Linked DNA regions of Drosophila melanogaster. The protein of the gene in region 1 interacts with the protein of each later gene in a pairwise test. Each region holds a gene or a part of one and is shown in the gene's direction. Other genes may lie near its edges. The genes, in order: Lcp65Ag3, PAN2, CG2082 and CG5618.

The links.
Region 2: the proteins of Lcp65Ag3 (region 1) and PAN2 interact in a two-hybrid assay, tested with the Drosophila melanogaster proteins (one large-scale study listed by BioGRID).
Region 3: the proteins of Lcp65Ag3 (region 1) and CG2082 interact in a two-hybrid assay, tested with the Drosophila melanogaster proteins (one large-scale study listed by BioGRID).
Region 4: the proteins of Lcp65Ag3 (region 1) and CG5618 interact in a two-hybrid assay, tested with the Drosophila melanogaster proteins (one large-scale study listed by BioGRID).

What each region holds. Positions count from the first base shown.
Region 1 is NT_037436.4:6,129,848-6,132,886, reverse strand, and holds Lcp65Ag3 (larval cuticle protein), read left to right. Parts: upstream 1-1,897; 5' UTR 1,898-1,957; coding exon 1,958-2,076; exon of another isoform or gene 2,077-2,137; coding exon 2,138-2,336; 3' UTR 2,337-2,501; downstream 2,502-3,039. Other genes in the region: Cpr65Au (cuticular protein 65Au), read left to right, coding at 806-939, 1,282-1,468.
Region 2 is NT_033778.4:8,926,601-8,933,634, forward strand, and holds PAN2 (Poly(A)-binding protein-dependent poly(A) ribonuclease 2), read left to right. Parts: upstream 1-1,568; 5' UTR 1,569-1,699; coding exon 1,700-1,754; intron 1,755-1,857; coding exon 1,858-2,048; intron 2,049-2,108; coding exon 2,109-2,278; intron 2,279-2,335; coding exon 2,336-3,597; intron 3,598-3,658; coding exon 3,659-3,780; intron 3,781-3,833; coding exon 3,834-3,933; intron 3,934-3,990; coding exon 3,991-4,050; intron 4,051-4,109; coding exon 4,110-4,405; intron 4,406-4,469; coding exon 4,470-4,666; intron 4,667-4,730; coding exon 4,731-5,093; intron 5,094-5,154; coding exon 5,155-5,353; intron 5,354-5,414; coding exon 5,415-5,626; intron 5,627-5,690; coding exon 5,691-5,912; intron 5,913-5,970; coding exon 5,971-6,080; intron 6,081-6,142; coding exon 6,143-6,309; 3' UTR 6,310-6,503; downstream 6,504-7,034. Other genes in the region: CG8237 (uncharacterized protein), read left to right, coding at 1-139; AIMP1 (aaRS-interacting multifunctional protein 1), read right to left, coding at 472-1,284, 1,341-1,499. UniProt on the Drosophila melanogaster protein: Catalytic subunit of the poly(A)-nuclease (PAN) deadenylation complex, one of two cytoplasmic mRNA deadenylases involved in general and miRNA-mediated mRNA turnover.
Region 3 is NT_033777.3:5,768,857-5,773,694, reverse strand, and holds the start of CG2082 (uncharacterized protein), read left to right. Parts: upstream 1-1,796; 5' UTR 1,797-1,993; coding exon 1,994-2,065; intron 2,066-4,838.
Region 4 is NT_037436.4:20,352,179-20,357,177, forward strand, and holds CG5618 (uncharacterized protein), read left to right. Parts: upstream 1-1,741; 5' UTR 1,742-2,047; coding exon 2,048-2,227; intron 2,228-2,621; coding exon 2,622-2,809; exon of another isoform or gene 2,810-2,951; intron 2,952-3,126; coding exon 3,127-4,102; intron 4,103-4,166; coding exon 4,167-4,355; 3' UTR 4,356-4,454; downstream 4,455-4,999. Other genes in the region: eRF1 (eukaryotic translation release factor 1), read left to right, coding at 1,267-1,376; kin17, read left to right, coding at 4,719-4,999.

The sequences.
Region 1 (3,039 bases):
CGTAGTCGAAAAAGAACCGACTGATTATAGATATTCGAAGAATAGAAACTGGTCACAGCGTGTATACGTGACCGCTGCACGATTAAATGTTTGTAAAATACTCTGATATTTGATATAGAATACTCTGATATGTAGAATATTCCATGCTTGTTGGATTGCTGATTGATATTTTCTATTAATAATTAATGTATATACCAATAGTAGTGTACACAAAGCATTTGCTGAGGCTTTACTTATTCAAACATTAGATGATAATATGAGAAATGACAATGGCAAAATCACAATGCACAATAATAAAAAGTTCGAATACAGAACTTTATGCATCTCGACTAGAAGACATCGTTTAAACCTGAGTTTATATGTATATAGCAAATGGTGATCGTGTACTGTTTTTTATACAAATTTTCACCGTTCTATCTGTTTGTTTCAAACAAACATGTTCACGATTAGCTTAATTAACCAATAAGATTTGAGAATTCAAAGGTGATGGCAAGGTAAGGCGTCATTCTGTCTATCAATTGACTGTCGACAAGGTAATTGCATACATTACCATCTGTTGGATATACCTGCATGCACGATTAGTGCAGGGTACTTAGAGTGTTAATCTGTAATTAAAATGTGTTTTATTGAATGTTTGCATTATAGCTGATTTCTTTATTTTTAATTTGTTTTATTATTTTGCATTTTTCGCCGATGAGGACATAATCCAGAGATTTCGTATAAAAGGGCATCAGATGATCGCATCGCAGCTCAGTAAAGTGCAGCTAGCTGTGACGGAGACTCTGAAAAACTAATTCTTTCCGCAATGCAATCGAATTTCATGTGGCTGGTAGCCTTCCTGGCAATTGGTATCTGTTTGGCCTTTCCCGCTGGTGAGGATGCCCAGGCGGAGACCATCAAACTGGAGAGCGAAAACACGGGCGATAAATATTCCTTTGCGTAGGTATTGCCCAGAAATGATTTGGACATAATGCATTTAATTGTAAAATTTTTTAACCTTAAACTGAGATACTATTACTATTTTGCGTAGAAACGGCTTGACTATTGAAACTGATGTATATAAATATGTACACATATATAAACTTTATTTAGTTGCACATGTCTCCCTCACTGCGTTGCAAACTTCTGACTGATATCAGAGGTATAAGCCTCTGCAAGGGCAAAATTAAAGAGGGTAGCTTTGAAATGCTTAGTTGTAACAGGTGTTTAATTATTCGATGTTCCTATATACAATTTCAATCAATAATTAATTTATTAAAAACAATTAACATCGAATTCCAGCTATGAGACGAGCAACGGAATCTCACGCACTGAGACCGGTGAGGTGAAACCTGGAGCCGGCGAAGAGGATGGTTCCTTGTCTGTCCAGGGATCGACCAGCTGGTCAGCTCCAGATGGCAAAAAATACGAGATTAGTTTCACGGCCGACGAAACTGGCTACCATCCCAAGTTCAGGCTAGTAGCCTAGGAGATACCTGGATGTATAATGATTCCGGATGCGAATAAATAAGTTGACTTTATTTATCCAATGTAAAAGATTCGTAGAATTAGAAAAGTAAATAGAAAAAATGTATATATTTGAGGAAGCTCCCGAGTTTTATTGACGTCACTAAGACTGGCTGGATTATTATAAATATAATAAAGCTCAATGAATTGTTAAAAATTTGAATAATGAAATATTTATGAACGCGATTCTTTTTGGACTATAGTGTTATTAAAATTTTATATTAGGCCTTTTAATGCTCCTACTTCAAACGAAAATGAAATCCAAACCAGACATTTCACATTAACATTGATTTTGCTCATTATGTCTTGTACACGTTTGACTAGTTCGGCCGCGCTTTGAATAATCGCCAAGAGGGTGCCATCTATAAAAGGGTTTACGCGGCCGTCCATAGTTACCATTCGACTTGAACTGTTCGATAGCCGCAGATCTAAGCACCAAACAACAATCACCATGAAATTCCTGATTGTCTTCGTCGCCCTCTTCGCCGTGGCTCTGGCTGCTCCTGCCGCTGAGGAACCCACAATCGTGCGCTCTGAATCCGACGTTGGACCCGAAAGCTTCAAATACGAGTAAGTTGCCTATGAGAAATGACCCAAAAGGATACCTAGCTGACACTGACTTCCTTCTTAGCTGGGAAACCTCCGATGGACAGGCTGCTCAAGCTGTAGGTCAGCTGAACGACATTGGAACTGAGAACGAGGCTATCTCTGTGAGTGGATCCTACCGCTTCATTGCTGATGATGGCCAGACCTACCAAGTCAACTACATCGCCGATAAGAACGGATTCCAGCCCGAGGGTGCTCATCTGCCCGTTGCCCCCGTGGCATAAGTGAAGTTGCTTTCACTGTAAGCAGCTTTAAACCCACCAATTCTGCAACACTCTTTGTTATCTTCCCCAACACTTACCTACTTTCGGTTTTCCCTTTTAAAAGGGAAAGAATCCTAAGTTACAGAACGCAGTTTGTTGAATATTAAAAAATGTAGATTTTATATGAATTCGTTTTATTTTAAATGTGCTTTTCGCTCAAAAGGTCGGAAACGTCGTTTTTTTTTAAAGGCGATTATTTGAAAATATTTTGTTAAGTTGTTCAGATAAATAGAACTAGATTCTTATGGCAAACAACGGACCTAATTAAAGGTTTTTTTCCATTAAGCAATTCTTAAGAAGTGTAAATAAGTATTTTGAAAGAATAGGTATTTTTTTCATTTAGAAAATTATTAATTAAAAAAAAAAACATTTTAGAACTGAAAATACAATTTTTTATTATGTATTTTATTACTCTAACCGCTAACATACCCAGTCGTCTTCAGGCTTTATTAGGTGTTCTTATTACATGAACATTATTAAAAAAGAAAAAGTTTTTGGGCCCTTATAATAATATTAAAAAAGAATATATTTTTCCTATTTTTAACTTATCTTAACAAAATCAAACGAAAATTTCCAGTATGCCTTAATAAAATAAAAACAAAAAGTTCTCCCAAATGCATAGTCGGCTTTGCGGATTTAAAGTGCATAGTTTAATCATAAAAGA
Region 2 (7,034 bases), on another chromosome or scaffold:
CTTCCCCATTTGCGTGTTGATGGTCTTCTTCAAGAACAATCGCACCGCCTACGACGTCCTAACCAAAACGATTGTGGTGGAGAGCAATTCCATTGCCGTGTTCCGCACCCAAGGGCAAGCGCAGCGCAATAATCGCTGAGGACGGCACTTAAACCAGCCAAAGTGTGTAGGAATGGCGCACTCCTATGCACTTCCTATGCACATATAAATAGACTTGTTAATGATAAATTTAATGTCGTTATGTACTGCTGTCGTGTGAAATAAAATAAAATATCACATGAATACCTCAGAATCTGCACGATAATCAAACATAACCAGTAATCCCAATGATCAGTAGAGCTTCCGATATTCCTGTAGAGCTACTCTTCACTGGTACTAGAAACTGAATGATAATGAAGTTCTGATACTGAAATGGTGTGCAGGCGGTGATGTTTCGTTTATTGGCTCAAAGCTTTAGTTTCGTTTATTGGCTCACTTCACATTGACGTTCTTCAGGGTTTGGGCCACCACGTTGCCCTTGCCAGGAACATGGAGAGCGGCGCCCTTGTAGCAGGCAACCAGTTCGCCGTTGGTCTTCAGATCCGGGGCGCACGACTCAAAGATCTTCTTCTTGGGGTTGAGCTGGGCGTCTGGCTGGCGCGGATAGCCCTCGCAGTGAACCAGGTCGCCGGGAACAGCTCCGGCGGGCGGACTGAGCACTTCCACTTTTTCCGGTGTAGATGCGCACATGACCATAGCCTCCGAGGTGACGCCGCGCATTTTGGCCGGCTTCAGGTTACACATGACCACTACCAGACGGTTCTGCATCTCTTCCAGGGGCACGAACTTCACCAGACCGGACACCACGGTGCGTGGAGCCGCCTCGCCGCAGTCGATCTTCTCCAGATACAAGCTGTCGGCGTCGGGATGGCGACCCACCTCCACAATCTTGCCCACGCGTAAATCCAGGCGACCGACGTCGACGGGAGCCTCCGGAGCGGCGGCGGGCTTCTCGGCGGCCGGTTTCTTCTCCTTGGACTTCTTTTCCTTGGGCTCCTTGGCCGGCTTAGGAGCCGGGGCAGCGGGTGCAGCGGTAGCAGGTCCAGCCTCTGCCGGCATAACTACTGGGGCCGCACTGGTGCAGAAACCCCGGGCTCCAGGCACCGGAATCTGTTTCTTGCCATTTCGCAGCTCCAGCTGCACCAGCTGGGCCAAAGCCGCCTCAACTTCCTTGGCCAGTGCAGCGTTCTCCTTGATCAGCTCCTGCTTCTGGCGCTCCACAAGTTGCTGCTGGATGCCGGAAATCTGGGGGGCAGTAGGTTATCGAGTGTTCGCAGGCGCTGGCAGGCGGAAATACTTGCCTCGGCTTCAATGGAGTTGATCAGCGCCTCGGCGCGCTCGTTGTTGCTTGCAATCTGCTGCAGATCGGCCATTGTTCTTTTGTTTCTCGCGAATTTTGAGCAATTCTGGCCGTAATTTTTACATGCGGATCCCACAGTCGTGGCAGCTCTACGCAGCATTGCAGTGCTTCTTCTTGCCACGCACAGTGGCGTCGCGCAGCGTTGGACAGGTAGTTCGTTGGCGGAGAAGCGAGAGTATTTTTACATCAGCCCTGCCAGGGTCACTCTAATCGGTGCAACGCAAAAACGGCTGGCAGTTTTGAGCGAAATTTGTTAAAAAATAAACAATAAAAAGTCGCGTGGGCATCGGCGTGCGGCAGATGGATTACGTGTATTGCGGCACCGACCCCATCGGGGCCTCCGAAGACATACTAAGTGGGTCAAGGGGTCGCTTTGGGGCCAACGCTCACCCACACGCACACACACACGCAAGCCAGCTAAAGCTTTCTCCTTTGTTTTCTGTTTACTTTTTGAAAAGGTGTTTATGACGCGGGATCTGCGCCGGGAAACGGGCACTTTTCGCCCAGCTTCAATGGATTCAACATCGGCACCACCGATCCGGAATATGTGGAGCTTGTGCCCGTGCTTGCCGACGGCGGGGAGCACTTCGGCGTTTCCAGCGTGGCGTTCGACGACTACGAAGAGCTGCTGTGGATGGGCAACCAGGGCGTGAGTTCCTCGTCCAGCCTGCCAGGCTTACTAATCCTGAATCTTCGCTCCTTCCCGCAGGGCCACGTCACATCGTACTACACAAACTCCATGCAGAAGTACACATCCTTTCAGGTCCACGCCACCGACATTGTGCGCGACATCTCCACCCTGGACTCCGGAGTGCTGGCGCTCACGCAGACCTCGCTGCGTCATCAGATCCGCAGGGGTCTGCCCAAGTTTACCTTCAAGTAAGCCACCGCGCTGGCACAAAGATTCCCCGAAAGTGAGGTTTCAATTTCTTGCAGATCGAACAACATGAAGGAGATGGTGAGCATGCTGCAGCTATCACCGCATCGTCTGGTCATGGCCGGACTGCAGGACGAGCTTATCGACTTCGACCTGCGCACGCTCAAGGAAACCCGCATAGAGCATGTGGGTGCCGGCGGATGCACGGTGCTACGCAAGAATTCACGTTATCTGTTTGCCGGCGACCAGCTGGGAACGGTAACGTTGCGCGACCTGAACAGCCTGAGTGTTCAGCACACAATCAAGACGCACACCAACATCCTTTCGGACTTCAGTGTCCAGGGAAATCTGCTAATCTCTTGCGGCTACAGCGGAAGGCAAAATAACCTGGCCATCGACCGCTTCCTAATGGTCTACGATCTGCGCATGCTGCGCCTGATCGCGCCCATTCAAGTGATGATTGATCCGCAGATGTTGAAGTTCCTGCCATCGCTGACATCCCAACTGGCCGTCGTGTCCAGCTACGGCCAGGTTCAGCTGGTGGACACTGTGGAGCTCAGCGAGCCGCGAGTATCCATGTACCAGATCAACACCAACGGCAGCCAGTGCCTCAGCTTCGACATTAGCTCCTCTTCACAGGCCATGGCATTTGGGGACCAGTCGGGCCACATCAACATGATTGCCGCTGTACAAACGCCTCAGCCGCAGTTCAATCTCTACTCGCGAAGCACAGAGTTTGCGGACGTGGTGCCACAGCTGCCGATGGTCTCCATTACGGACACCAACTTTCCGCTATCGTCGGTCATGCTACCGCACTTGACGACGGGCACACAATGGTTCTCAGATTGGCCGGAGGAACTGCTGCGCTACCGCTACCACAGGCCCAAGACCATTGATCCCGAAGTGCTGAGCAACATGAAAATGCAGGGACCGATTGGATACTCGCCAAACCCACGCACCGCCCGTCGTAATCAAATTCCGTACGTGATTGAGCAGGGCGGCGTGTGCAGTCCGAACGGAAATGGAACTGCGGCGGCGACCAAGGCGGAGAACGGTGTGAAAATCATTCCACGGCGGTATCGCAAAGTCGAGCTGAAGTACACGAAGCTGGGCACCCAGGACTTTGACTTTGACCAGCATAATCAAACATGTTTCGCGGGGCTGGAGGCAACGCTACCGAACTCCTACTGCAATGCTATGCTACAGATTTTGTATTTCACCGACGCGCTTCGCGTGAAGCTGCTGGAGCATTCGTGCATCAAGGAGTTTTGCCTGTCCTGCGAACTAGGGTTCCTCTTCAACATGCTGGATAAAAGTACCGGTTAGTTTGCTTGTGTAACTTAACTATCCTTAGTTTAAGTATTTATGTGTGCTCCTTTCAGCTTCTTCACCTTGCCAGGCCAGCAATTTCCTGCGATCTTTCCGCACTGTGCCAGAGGCCTCGGCACTGGGATTGATTCTCACCGACCGCTCATCGAACGTCAATCTAATATCGCTGATACAGGCAAGTAATACCATGGTTTCCTAAGCAGATATTTAATTTATGCACACTCTCAGAACTGGAACCGATTCATTTTGCATCAAATGCATTACGAAATATTCGATTCTAGCAAGAACGCATCCACCTACAGCGGATCTGTGCAAACATCAACGAACGGTAACCACAGCCGAGTTTATCCTTTACAAATAAGTGAAACTTCGATTTATTTTGCAGCGGAAAACGCGGGCTCTTCAGAAACAAGTGGCTCCTCGGACCTTTACGATTCCATAAGTGGTGGGCAGGTGAATTAATGGTTTAACTAACACTCTAATCATATGTACGTATATGAACAGATGAGAACTCCAAGGAGGACGATCGGGAACGCAGTAAGATCAACGCAGAAACTGACATCAGTAAGATCTTTGGGACCAAGCAAATCTGTATAAACCGCTGCATCAAATGCCAAGAAGAGAAGATAAAGGAAAGCATTCTACTTGCCTGCAATTTGTCGTATCCCAACCACATCAAAGATAGTGATCAGTATTTCAACTTTGGCACCATTTTGAAGCGATCTCTCAGCTCCGAGAAGAGTATTCAGGCCTTCTGCGAGAGATGTAAGAAGTTTTCGCCAACCAATCAGAGCGTGAAGGTCGGGAGCTAACTTTATAGTGAACCAAGCAAGAAGTTACATATGTAATGCATCTGAATTTCAGGTGACTTCGCTTCCGCAAATTCTGTCCATTAACTGTGGCCTCAACAACGAAAAAGACATTACCTTCCTGAAGCGCCAGCTCAATCGCTGCAGCGAAAAGACGACTGTTGATGCGGCCGCTTCCTTGAGCACAAGCAAGCCGTGTCGATATGGAGCCAACTGTTCGCGAAGTGACTGCCATTTCATGCATCCGGATCGGTGAGTTACGACGAATCGAAACTGAATCAGTCGTCTTATGCATATTGTTGTACCTACTGTGCAGAAAATCTCCATCGCACACAAGCCAACCGAATGCTGTCAACAATTCTCCCAATGGACGCCAAAAGTCCTGGTTTCCCCTTACATTTACTATGGGCATCAATGACCAAGGTGAGGTGCAGGTGCAAACTCAATCAGATGCAAGCAGTGGCAAATCGGAACAGGAGGAGGAAACGGAAAAGCCACCAACAAAGGGCTTGGACAACAATCGGATGTACGCGCTGCATGCCGTGGTGTGCCAAGTCGATGATGGTACCCAAAAGAACTTGGTATCGTTGATAAATGTGCAGCGGCCATACCACACCATGAAACTGGCTGAATCTGCAGATGACCCTCAGAGTCAATGGTATATTTTTAATGATTTTAGGTAAGTTAGATCTCTATTGTGAATGGCCTTCGATTAATATTGCTCATATATCGCTCAACAGCATATCGCCCGTTTCGCCACAAGAATCGGTATGGTTCACATTGGATTGGAAAGTTCCTTGCATACTCTTCTACAGACACGTAGAGGATGACTCTGAGTCTGCTAGTACTACTAGCTCGACCGTCACGGAAAGTGAAGAAACCATTCCATCAGAGAGCAGCAGCGGCTCGCCAACAAATCTATCCAACCCTTTTCTAGAGGTTAATAGTTTAATATAGCATTGAGTCTGCTGAATGCTAATCTGAATCTTAATCCTACCAGGAAATTGTGAGTCCTATGCTAGGCAACTTAAGTGCAGACGCCACGCTGCAGCCCCTGCAGTCAGATGAAATGCCGCAGTCGGGTGATCTGGTCGCAATGGATGCCGAGTTCGTTACCCTAAATCCAGAGGAAAATGAGATTCGCCCGGATGGCAAAACGGCGACCATTAAGCCATGCCACATGAGTGTGGCCCGGATTTCATGTATACGAGGGTAATTCATTAACTGAAACTTAAAAATATTCATCTCGATAAGCACGGGTATGAATTCTTTACAGACAAGGCCCGGCTGAAGGAGTTCCATTCATGGACGATTACATATCCACCCAGGAGAAGGTCGTGGACTACCTAACTCAGTTCTCGGGAATCAAGCCTGGCGACTTGGACGCTAACTTCAGCAAAAAGCGACTGACTGCCTTGAAGTACTCATACCAGAAATTAAAATACCTCGTTGACGTAGGAGTAATATTTGTCGGACATGGTCTGAAGAACGACTTTAGGTGGGATGCCCTGCTTTGTAAGGAACCAATAGACCACTAAACTTCCATGTGATTGCAGGGTCATAAACATCTATGTACCGTCGGAGCAGATAATAGATACGGTGCACCTGTTTCACATGCCACATCATCGCATGGTTTCCCTAAGATTTCTAGCCTGGCATTTCTTGGGTTTGTATAGGGGTTTTCTTCGATTTGGAATTGTATCTAATTGGGTTTTCCTAATGCCAAAGGTACTAAGATTCAGTCCGAGACGCACGACTCCATCGAAGATGCACGGACCACTCTGCAGCTCTACAAGCACTATTTGAAGCTGCAGGAGGAGAAGAAGTTTGCCAACGCTCTCAAGAATCTTTACGAACGCGGAAAGCAGCTGCAGTGGAAGGTTCCAGAGGACTGATTCGTCGCCAAACCCGATGCCAATTCGACGAAACTCATAATCAACGTTATCGTCAGTACAAACGCTACACCGATCTGAAAAAATCCCGGCTTCTCCCAATTTTATTATGTTTTAATGCGTTGCTATTTGCTACGAAGCTCCTGGTATTTCATGTTGTATTTGTCTATCTTTATAACAAAATCAAAACAAAGCATAAAAGTTGTATTTCTTATCAGTGATGCTTTATTGATCGTTGATGCGAATCTAAGTTGCTTATCAAATCCACAATCGGGCTAATAGGCAAAAGCGGGCAACAGATGTGTTCAGGGATCGTGCACGTCAATCGATTCAATTCCTTTGAAATTCTCATTCGCCCTCCCCTATCACCAGCGGCGTTTGTGAATTTTTGAGATGCTGTCGCCAATTTGATGAATAACCTGATGTTGGACTACTGCGCACCTACTTATAAATACCACGACGAGCAAGTCAAGCCAGTTAGTTGTTAGAGCTCACCATTCACTCAGGGAACATAGATGACAATGCATTTGCTTGGACTTCTCGTGCCGATCGCTTGCGCTGTTTTGTGCGTTGGTGAAAAATCCCTTTACCATGGTCTCGCCCAAACGGAGACTAATCGACGATTCCATTGCTCCCTCAGCTGCCGATCTCCAGCGGACATACGACGGACATGATGGGCCTCACGTTTTCGGAACACCCGGCAATCAAGTCTACATTCGGGGGCAGAA
Region 3 (4,838 bases), on another chromosome or scaffold:
TTCCTTCGCCCGCCTTTTGCTTAATTCCTTTGTCTGACTGGCGGCTTTATGCGCTTTCAGTCATCATCATCATCCCCATTTGTTTAATTAAAGCACGTGTCGAAATTGAAACACAAAAAATTATGACACATATCTGCTTATGGCCTTGGCGGAAATGCATGCAAATTTTGAGAAGATCAGCGAATTGCTCTCGTAAAACATACATTTAATATGGTTCATTTAACTGAAATGAAACAACCTTTTGAAATTTTTAAAATATCTTCAACGGTTTTTCTTTCTGTGCTCTTGTAAATCGAAAGAATTTAAAATCGCATGGAGTATCAAGTATCCAAGCCTTCAGTTCATCCAATATTTTTGGTTTACCCCTAATTGGCTTCAACATTTTGCGCTTTTCTCATCCAACTTTAAATTACTTTCACTTTGGCCAGCCAGCATTTTCGAGCTGCATCATCGGTAGTTGCGAAGGGGATGGCCTTCGATGTCAGCACATAATAGTAATCCATTCCATCATATCACCGTACCGGCCGCACCGCACCTCTGCACCTATGCTCTGTGACCCTTTTTCCATATCCATATCAGAAATTTCGACCCGGCGGCCACGCCCCCACCCACAGGCACAGCCCCTCGTGGCATAACCGCAGCCGGCTTGACCTAGGACACGCATATTTCTAATGCGCATTTCGCCAGAGAAGTGGGCGGAATTGGGGTGCCCGGGTCGTCCGGGGAGACGGATTTGCGCATTTCCCGCGCGCTGACAAATTAGCACATCAAAACAAAAAGGCCAAAAAGGCTTAGAGCAACAAGAGAAGAAGGGCTGCAAAGGCGAGAGCCCGCCGACAATAAAGAGTCTGCTCAACAATGCCACCGAAAACAAAGTAAGACAAAAAGGATTTTTACATAAACCCACGCAAGACACCCACACAAACGCAGGCCAGCAGAAACACACACACACACTCTTACAGCGACGAACGTGAGTGGGCGCCAAACTAAGCGCGCCCAAAAGTAGGCAACGGAATTTTCTCGGCAGAAGCTGTAGGTGCGCGTGTGTGCGTGCATGTTGCAGTGCGAGCGTTGCCAGATGGAAAGAAACGTATATGTGAATGTTCCCTTGAATTTTAAACTGCAATTACGTTCTTTAGAGGTAATTGAAATATTTGGGATTGCTTGACGTAAACAAATGAGAATGAGAAATATTTATATTTTCTGGTTGGTATCTAGAATCACTCTTTGCCAAAGCTAAAAATACTATAAAATTACACCACAAACAAATAAATAGTTCATAAGCTGTATTTAGCTAGGTTTTATAGGTAGCATATTTGTCTAGATGCATATTTTAAGTAATCGTAATGCATTGAAGATTCCAGAAACTACTATTGACGCATACAAAGTCAAAGGACCAGAAACACAATATCTAAATGTGATATAAATGTGATATAAATTTAATACTTTTCAACACAAAACTCAGTTGGGAGTCGAATTTCGTAATGCGTAGTTGGTGGGCAACCATCTGGCCACGCTCTGTGCAACACCTTCCCAACAAACTGCCCTACGGCAACATTTCAACACTTGGCCCACCCCCAACCGCCTCTTTTTCCCCGGCAGCATCACTGCGAGAGCGAGAGAGACAACGGTAGAGGGGGAGCGAGTGGGCAGAAGGCGATTTCACTTGGCCATTTCACTCATCATCAGTTTGTTTTGCTCCCCGTTTCGCTCAGCTTCGTTTCGCCTCGGAAAAGATCGGCTTTTCACGCCGGCGATGGCGATGGCGTAGCATTTTCCCATGATAAGCCAGTTTTCCCAGTCGTCGCCAGGCGTTCGAAGATTGCGCATTCGTTCAGAAACGCGGTTCCGCCCGATTCGCATCCGATTTCGGTTTCCATCCTCGAGTGCTGCTGTGCGCCTGATAGAGCCCCGTTCGAGCCACGCTTGTGTGTCCCGCAGTTCCTTTGAGCAACCCAGTGAAGTGAAGCTACCGTCGCCCGAATCCCACACCATGTCGAAGCCGGGAACCCCCAAGCACGGCGCCGGCTCATCCTCAGCAGCTGCTGCCCCCGAGAAGATTAGCGTGAGTTCCGACATAGCAGTTTACCGCCAGGAGGACAGCTTTTCGAAAAGTGCATCCTGGCTGATTTGGGATGCAGAGCATCAGAACACCATAATATCATGTTCCACATCACTCCCGTCCGTCAAGTGCGTTAATGCGCTTTTCTAGAATTCTCTCTGTGCGTATACGTAATATTCGTAACACGCCGAGCTGCAAGTGCGAGCGACTACTTCTGTTAACATCTCAAGTGTCTGAGTGGTATAATCTTTCAAAAAAGTCGGGATAAATATTTGCACGGAAATTAGTGATGAAATTGCAGACGAGTGAATTAGTTTGCTATAAGACCAAGTTGTTCTGAATAATATTTAAAAACCTACCTAAATTAAGAAATTATGAAATATTTCTGAGCACTTGTACCACGAAAAAGCTATTAGTTTTTCTTCCACATGAAAAGGGCTAAATAGCACGTAAATGGAAAATTATACTATCAAAAAAACGTAAGGTGTTGAAAATGTAATCAACTAATTTCGTGACAGTTCGAGGGCTTTGTGGAATTAGTCTACCTAAAATTCATCCCCTTTACTTCCTTCAATTAAAAAAGGTGAGCGCGAAATGCTAAGCCAGACTAAGCCACCGCGATCGAATAGAGAAAACAGAATACAGAATATATTGTAGAAACATATGCTGGTGACCTCGAATTCCCCTTTTGGCACGGGGTTACCTTTTGTAGTTGGGTGCTGTTTGCTTTTTATTTTTTTGGCCCTCGGTGCCCAGTGAACTGGGCTCAAAGGGCATAGCATACTTTCTGTCTTGCGCCTCATAAAAATTGCATAATTGTCGTTCTGCATGTCGTTGTTTGTGCGACTCTTTGTGTGGTCCTGTTGATGTGGCTATTGGAATGGGGGCGACTCAACCATTAGCCTGGAACTGCATGTTTCTTTTTACGTGCCATTTGCGGTCGCATCTGGCACACAGCAACTGCGTAGAGTGGGCCAAAACGAATCTAGGTGCTCAAATGGGCAAAATTATGGTGTTCGTTCGGTCTTATTGGCCTGCTATTTCCCTCTTTTATTAGGCAGCTAATTATATGGCGACAAAGTGGTGCGGACTCTAAACGGAAATAAAGGAACATATCCAAGTTGAAAGTTAAAGTGAATGCACCCACTTCATTGAAATATGGTTAATTTATTGTTGAAATGCTACATGTTATTTGATAATTTGCGGAGAAAACTAATAACTGGAATATAAAAATTAAATCTTTATAAATATTTGCTATGTAGCATTTTTTCACTTATTCGCTTTTGGCCCTCGTGGCTGGCTCATAATTTCCCCATTTTCCTTTTCGACTGAGCTCATTAAATCCTGACCACAATGTGAGCTGCGCCACTTCCACCCCGACCACATGGTGCACACCCTCTTGTCCTGCATTGCAATCTCAATCCAAATATGCTGACTAAAGGGCTTTGCTGGAGTAAATCTCTGCGATATATGGCTGTATTCCTGTCCGACTCGCTTTGTTTCCCAGTTTTCCGCAGGGCTCGCTCATCCCCTCAAGCGGAATCTGAATGCGATGGAATTTAACTAGGGAAAAGCATAATGGGGAGTCGGCTGTCCATATAGGGGTATGCATTATACATGATACTGCAGACCGGGCCAGACCTATACCACTATTCCCACGACTTTTTCCATTTTCCTTCGACATTCTGCCCGCGGGTCTTCCATTGGCCGCCTTGAAGAAACTTCCCATAATTTGTGCTGGCCCACACTCACACTTCAGGATATAAGTCCTTTTCGGTCAAGTTTGCGTTCTTTGTTCCGCCCAGCCAAGTTTCTTCATCCTCCGAGTTTGTTTTCGCCGGAGCATCTGGCGTGTCCCCTGTCCACAAGACGAAAACTTGTTGACTTCGAAGGCATCGAAAAACACGCGTTTCTCCTTTTATTTCAATTTTTTTTTCATATTTTTTCCTCTATGCATTGTTAAGTGAGTGGGAAACGGTGGCGTAAGAACTTTGCCACCGGCAAAGTGTCAAAGTTTGCAAGGCAAGGTTGCTCATACGCCCCGTTGCCCCCTGCGGCTGCGGGCGCAAACTTAAAGAACATTTAATTGGTGGCTTTAAGCACCGGCCTACATGCCCGCGTGATTTGTTTGTGTCTATTAAAAATTCCCTGGCAATGCGGTCGCTTCGCCAGAAAAGTGTGCTGGAATTTTGTTTGCACAACTTTTCGCATCACTTGGGGGCTTTTGCCTTTATGCAACCGACCCCCACCCCTCCCCCTGCAAGGTTTTCCATAAATTCAAACACTTTTACCCAGATTTTCACCGCCCTCATAACGGCATCCGCAGGCTGTTGGAAAAGTGTCGGGGCATAAAAATCCCATCAAGTATACGTCAAAGTGCGGCCAACTTGTGCTCCTCTTAGATAATGCCTGGCAAAAAGGTCCTGCACGAGAAGTCAAAACGATTCCAATTCCAAAATGCTGACTGTGACTTTTCGCTCTGGATTTAATTGCATTTCAACTAGATAGGCAAATTCTACTTGGTCTAGAAGAGCCATTAAATGGTTCACATCTACATATGGCAACTGAATGTTTTAGTCTCCGAAAATCCACCTGCCACCAATCTTTGAATCGGACTACTAGGGCAGAATAAATATGTAACTATGTCCCAATTATAATGCACTGCACAATGGCACAGTCCACCGATGATTACTATGGATACAGACTCGAATTTGTGTACATTAGCAGGATTTGCTGTGCCAAATCAGCTGGGAAATTAAATATCATATCAATTATG
Region 4 (4,999 bases), about 14 Mb from region 1:
TTCCCTTGTCGATCAGATCAGCGTGCATCTAGATATGTACCTATACGTTTTACCAAATTTTTTAATTAGTCGTGCACCAGGCGGAATCGCGTACTTTTAAGCAGCATATTAAATTCGTATTTCGTACTCGTAATTCGTAATTTGTATTTCAATGGTCATGTAAAAGCGATGCGATAGATATTAGCGCATTCTCCGTTCATCTGGTTCGATTTCGACTGCGGTATTAGGAGCAAAAGATCTTCGGTTAACTGCCACATGCCACTTTCGAACGTATCTGCATTTCCCCTATTCAAATTATAGCCGAGTGTTATAAGAAAGTATACAAATCTAATCCATAAAATTGTAATAAAAATTAAACCAGAATAAAAACACCACACAATGAGGATGGGGTATCCGTTTATATTCAGTCGCGAAGTACAACAAATATTTTATTTAGTGTATGAAAAGTTAAATGTGGATACAAAGGAGGTGAGAATCTGAGTTTCGGTTGAACTATCCTGTGTGTTGATCCTTTTGTTTTTTCCTCTTCATTTATTTTTCAATTTTCAATCAGCTTCTGTTCTTCTATTTTTTTTTTTTTTTTGTTTCTTATTTTAATTTAATTCAATTGCTGGGTGTGCCTCTGCAGGTATCTTACGCTACAAGGTGGATTTCCAGAGTATGCAGCTCGATGAATTGGACAATGATGGCTTCGATCTAGATGATTACTAGGAAATGTATCTGTAGAAATGAATTTGCCACTACGTTCGACCGCAAACTGAACTGCAACTACAACTATATGAATCCAGGAAATCAAATAGAATATTTAAATAATATGAGAAAACACAAACCTTCTTCCATTTTTACGTTGTTGGCGAAAAAAGTAAAATTTTAAATAATGCATATAGATACAAACGATAAAATGTTAAATCGAGGAAAACATATTAAAATGCAACCGTTTTACGTGAACAAATTTGCAATTTGAATATATTTTCGAGGGACTAGAGCTCTTGTTATATAATTAATTGTTCCTCTATAAATCTAAATCTAAATCTACATTGACAATACGCCACGTTTCCTAAAGTTTTTGGGTACAAGGAGAATTGTATCTGTGAGTTTTAATCGTTCTATTATAGCTTGAAAACGAAATTTGCACCGAAAGCTGATAAAATTCCGACTCTGCTATCTGCTGGATAAGTAAAATGCTGGTAGCCACTTGGAGTACTACCAGTACAGCAATGAAAGTAAAGTGAAATGGGCATTTCATTTTCTACTTTCTATTTGCAGGCACACTGGAAACAGTTTACTGCGAGATTCCCACTTCATTAGTTGGCAATGCACGTGGACGACAGCAAAAAGCACTCGTAGTACTTGTTTCGCCCTTGATTTGCATCTAAGAATCGCTCAGATACATCTGGTGAGCTGAAACTCGTTTCTGAGCCGCAGTGTCGTGCAGGTATCCGTACTCGTTTGAATATTTGTAAGTAATCATTGCAGCGAGACTTCCAAAAAGTAAGCTCAGCTAAGTTCTGCGGTGTTGGGCATCCAATTAGTTGACCAAGTTTTCTGGTGGCATGCACATGAAACTTGTTTAATCGATAGGGTAAATATGCAAATTTCGATTGAATTTGACGATAATGCGTCGAGATGAAAAGAAAACGAATTGTGCAGGATTTTGGTTACGAGATAAGCCGAATCAGCTAATAAGGCACGTGCTTAATTGATATATATTGTATGTTTAAGTAACCTAAATATGCACGACTTTAATATCACTTTTATTTCGCTTTCGTAATAAAACGAGGTTCACTCTAAAGAGCACAAGCGTGGAGGTGTATGTGTGTTCTTACAGCCCCGATCATTTGTATTTCCATTTGAGTGCGAGCGAAGACGAGGGTTTACAACTTGATGAGAATTTGATCAAGATAACATTAAAACACAATCTGCTGCAGTCGGACGGGGCACTTCTGATTGAATCGTCGACGGAAGAGGTTCGGATCTCGAAAGCCAAAAATAATCAGCCTTTTACTGGCCAATTGAGATACGGAAACTTCTACCGACCGAGTGTAGTATGGCTGAATCAGTGGATGGAGCAGAGACTGTTGACCAGATTCGCGATGGCCTCATGGACGACTGGAAGATCCTGGAGAACGTATTCCACCTTCTCCGGAAGGAGGATACCTTCTGCGTGGATCCCCAGAAATGGGACAAGCAGAAGATAGTCCCCTTTTTGCAGCCAGACAAACTTAAGGTGAGTGGAGCAAGTGATAGACGATTCGGCGTCTGCCGATGTGGAGATAACCAGAGATAACAGAGAACTGATTAATGGAAGAGTTCATTCGAAAATTGACCACCCGACCGCAAATTGTAGCAATTGTACTATGGCTTGCCCGACGAAATGTGAGTCAATTGATAGTAGCACTTCCTGATTGAGCACACTCATGCTAGTATCTGATAGTTTTAATTATAATTGAATTGTTTGTTATTTCATAGATTATGGTCGGTTTTTTCTGGGTAAAGATATTATTAGTTCGAAACAGAAAACGTTTTAGAAATATGTTGAATCTTTAATATACTTTCTTATTGCAAAAGTCGCTGTTCTATAACAATCTTGAGATTACATGATTTCGCACCATCACTTCCAGGAACTGATTAACCTGAAGGTTCGAGAGACGGAAAACTGCTCGCTCGCGGAGATCGAGGAGCTGTGCCAGCAGGTGATCCATTACTCTGTGAAAACCTCGCACGGCCGCTTCCACAATCAGCTCTTTGGCCAGCTGGACCCGTTTGGACTGGCAGGAGCCCTGGTCACCGAGGCCATGAACGGCAGCACGTAAGTCTGCGCCTTATTCCACACATGTGTCTTGTCTATATGAGTGACCGCTGATTGCATCTCGTGTTCCAATCTACAAGTGGTGTCGGGGTTCAACGTACAGATAATTGCGCTATGTAATGGAGATTGCAAAGTACTACATGTATGTTTCATAACCCCCCCCCCCCCCTTTCGATTAATTTAAATGGGGATTAAGCAGAGTTCATACACAATCATTGCAAGTTATTAATCATTTAGATGAGATTTCCTAGATAGGACTACCAAAATCAGACTTTTAACCGAGGTATCCAACAAGACACAATAAACTTTTGTTTCAGATACACCTACGAAGTTGCGCCCGTGTTTAGCTTGATCGAAACTGAGGTGATCGCGACCATCTGCAAGTTAGCGGGATACAAGGAAGGCGATGGCATCTTTGCGCCCGGTGGCTCCACCTCCAACATGTACGGCATGGTTCTGGCCCGCTATAAGATCGCGCCCGAGGTGAAGACGTCTGGAATGTTTGGAATGCGACCGCTGGTGCTCTTTACCTCCGACGAGTCGCACTACAGCTTCGTGAAGGCGGCCAACTGGCTGGGATTGGGCAGCTACAACTGTGTGTCGGTGAGGACCAATGAGCGGGGTCAGATGCTGTTGGACGACCTGGAGGCGAAGATCGCAGAGGCAAAGGCACGTGGCGGTGAACCGTTCTTTGTCAACTGTACTGCAGGCACCACTGTGTTGGGTGCCTTTGATGATATCAATGGTGCGGCGGATGTGACGGAACGACATGGTCTGTGGCTCCATGTGGACGCCTGTCTGGGAGGCGCTGCACTACTCTCCGCCAAGAACCGATCGCTCATTGCCGGCCTCGAGCGGGCGAATTCGTTTTCCTGGAATCCGCACAAAACCATCGGCGCTCCATTGCAGTGTTCACTCTTTTTGACCAGGGAATCTGGCCGTCTGCTGGAAAGATGCAACAGCACCGAGGCGCACTATTTGTTCCAGCAGGACAAGTTCTATGATGTATCCTACGATACGGGAAACAAGAGTGTCCAGTGCGGCCGCAAGATCGACGCTTTCAAGTTCTGGCTAATGCTTAAGGCTCGCGGATATGGAAAGTATGGACTCATGGTGGACCACGCCATCCACATCGCCAGGTTGCTGGAAGGCAAGCTGCGCCAGCGTGGAGATCGCTTTAGACTGGTGATCCCGGAGCACGAGTACTCCAATGTCTGCTTTTGGTTCATTCCGAAAGCAATGAGGGTGTCCAGCGAGGAGGAGACGCCTGAATGGTGGAGTCGACTTTACACTGTAAGTGAATAACAATGGCTTTGATAGACCATTTAAGCTCACATTTTTATATGCTCCTTTAAAGGTGGCCCCGAAAATTAAGGAGCAAATGGCCCACAGCGGCACTTTGATGATTGGTTACTCGCCTCTTAAAGCTAAAAATCTGGGCAACTTCTTTCGCATGGTCTTCACTTGTTTTCCCATCCTGAAAAGCAAAGAGTTGGACTTCATTTTGGACGAAATTGAGAGATTGGGCGAGAAAATTGTGCTTTGAATTATTTTCTATGTGAATTAAGCTAATTAATGGAAATCGTTCAATTGTACATTTCATTGTAGTTATTACTTTGTGATAAAAAATACGCCTTTATTATGTAAACTCGGCTTAATCTCTATTTTGAATATTTAAATAAAAATCTTTCAAGAAATGAATATTAAGTTTTTTAAATTCATTTTCTACCGCTATCAACAAATAATATTAGCCTGGTCACACGAACATCCCCCAGCAGTAACTATCGATAAAAGTGTTCACGGGTATTGTTGTTATACCCCAGCGCGGTCATACCTTTACGTGAGATCAAAACAATAAGTTTTTGTTGAGAAATTATTTGTAAAACCACGCACATAAAAAGACGCTACGATGGGTCGCGCCGAGGTAGGTACGCCCAAGTACCTCGCCAACAAGATGAAATCGAAGGGTCTGCAGAAGCTGCGCTGGTACTGCCAGATGTGCGAGAAGCAGTGCCGCGATGAAAACGGCTTCAAGTGCCACACGATGAGCGAGTCCCACCAGCGCCAGTTGCTCCTCTTTGCGGACAATCCTGGCAAATTCCTGCACAGCTTCAGCAAAGAGTTCTCCGACGGCTACATGGAGTTGCTGCGCCGGCGGTTCGGCACGAAGCGAACCAGCGCCAACAAGAT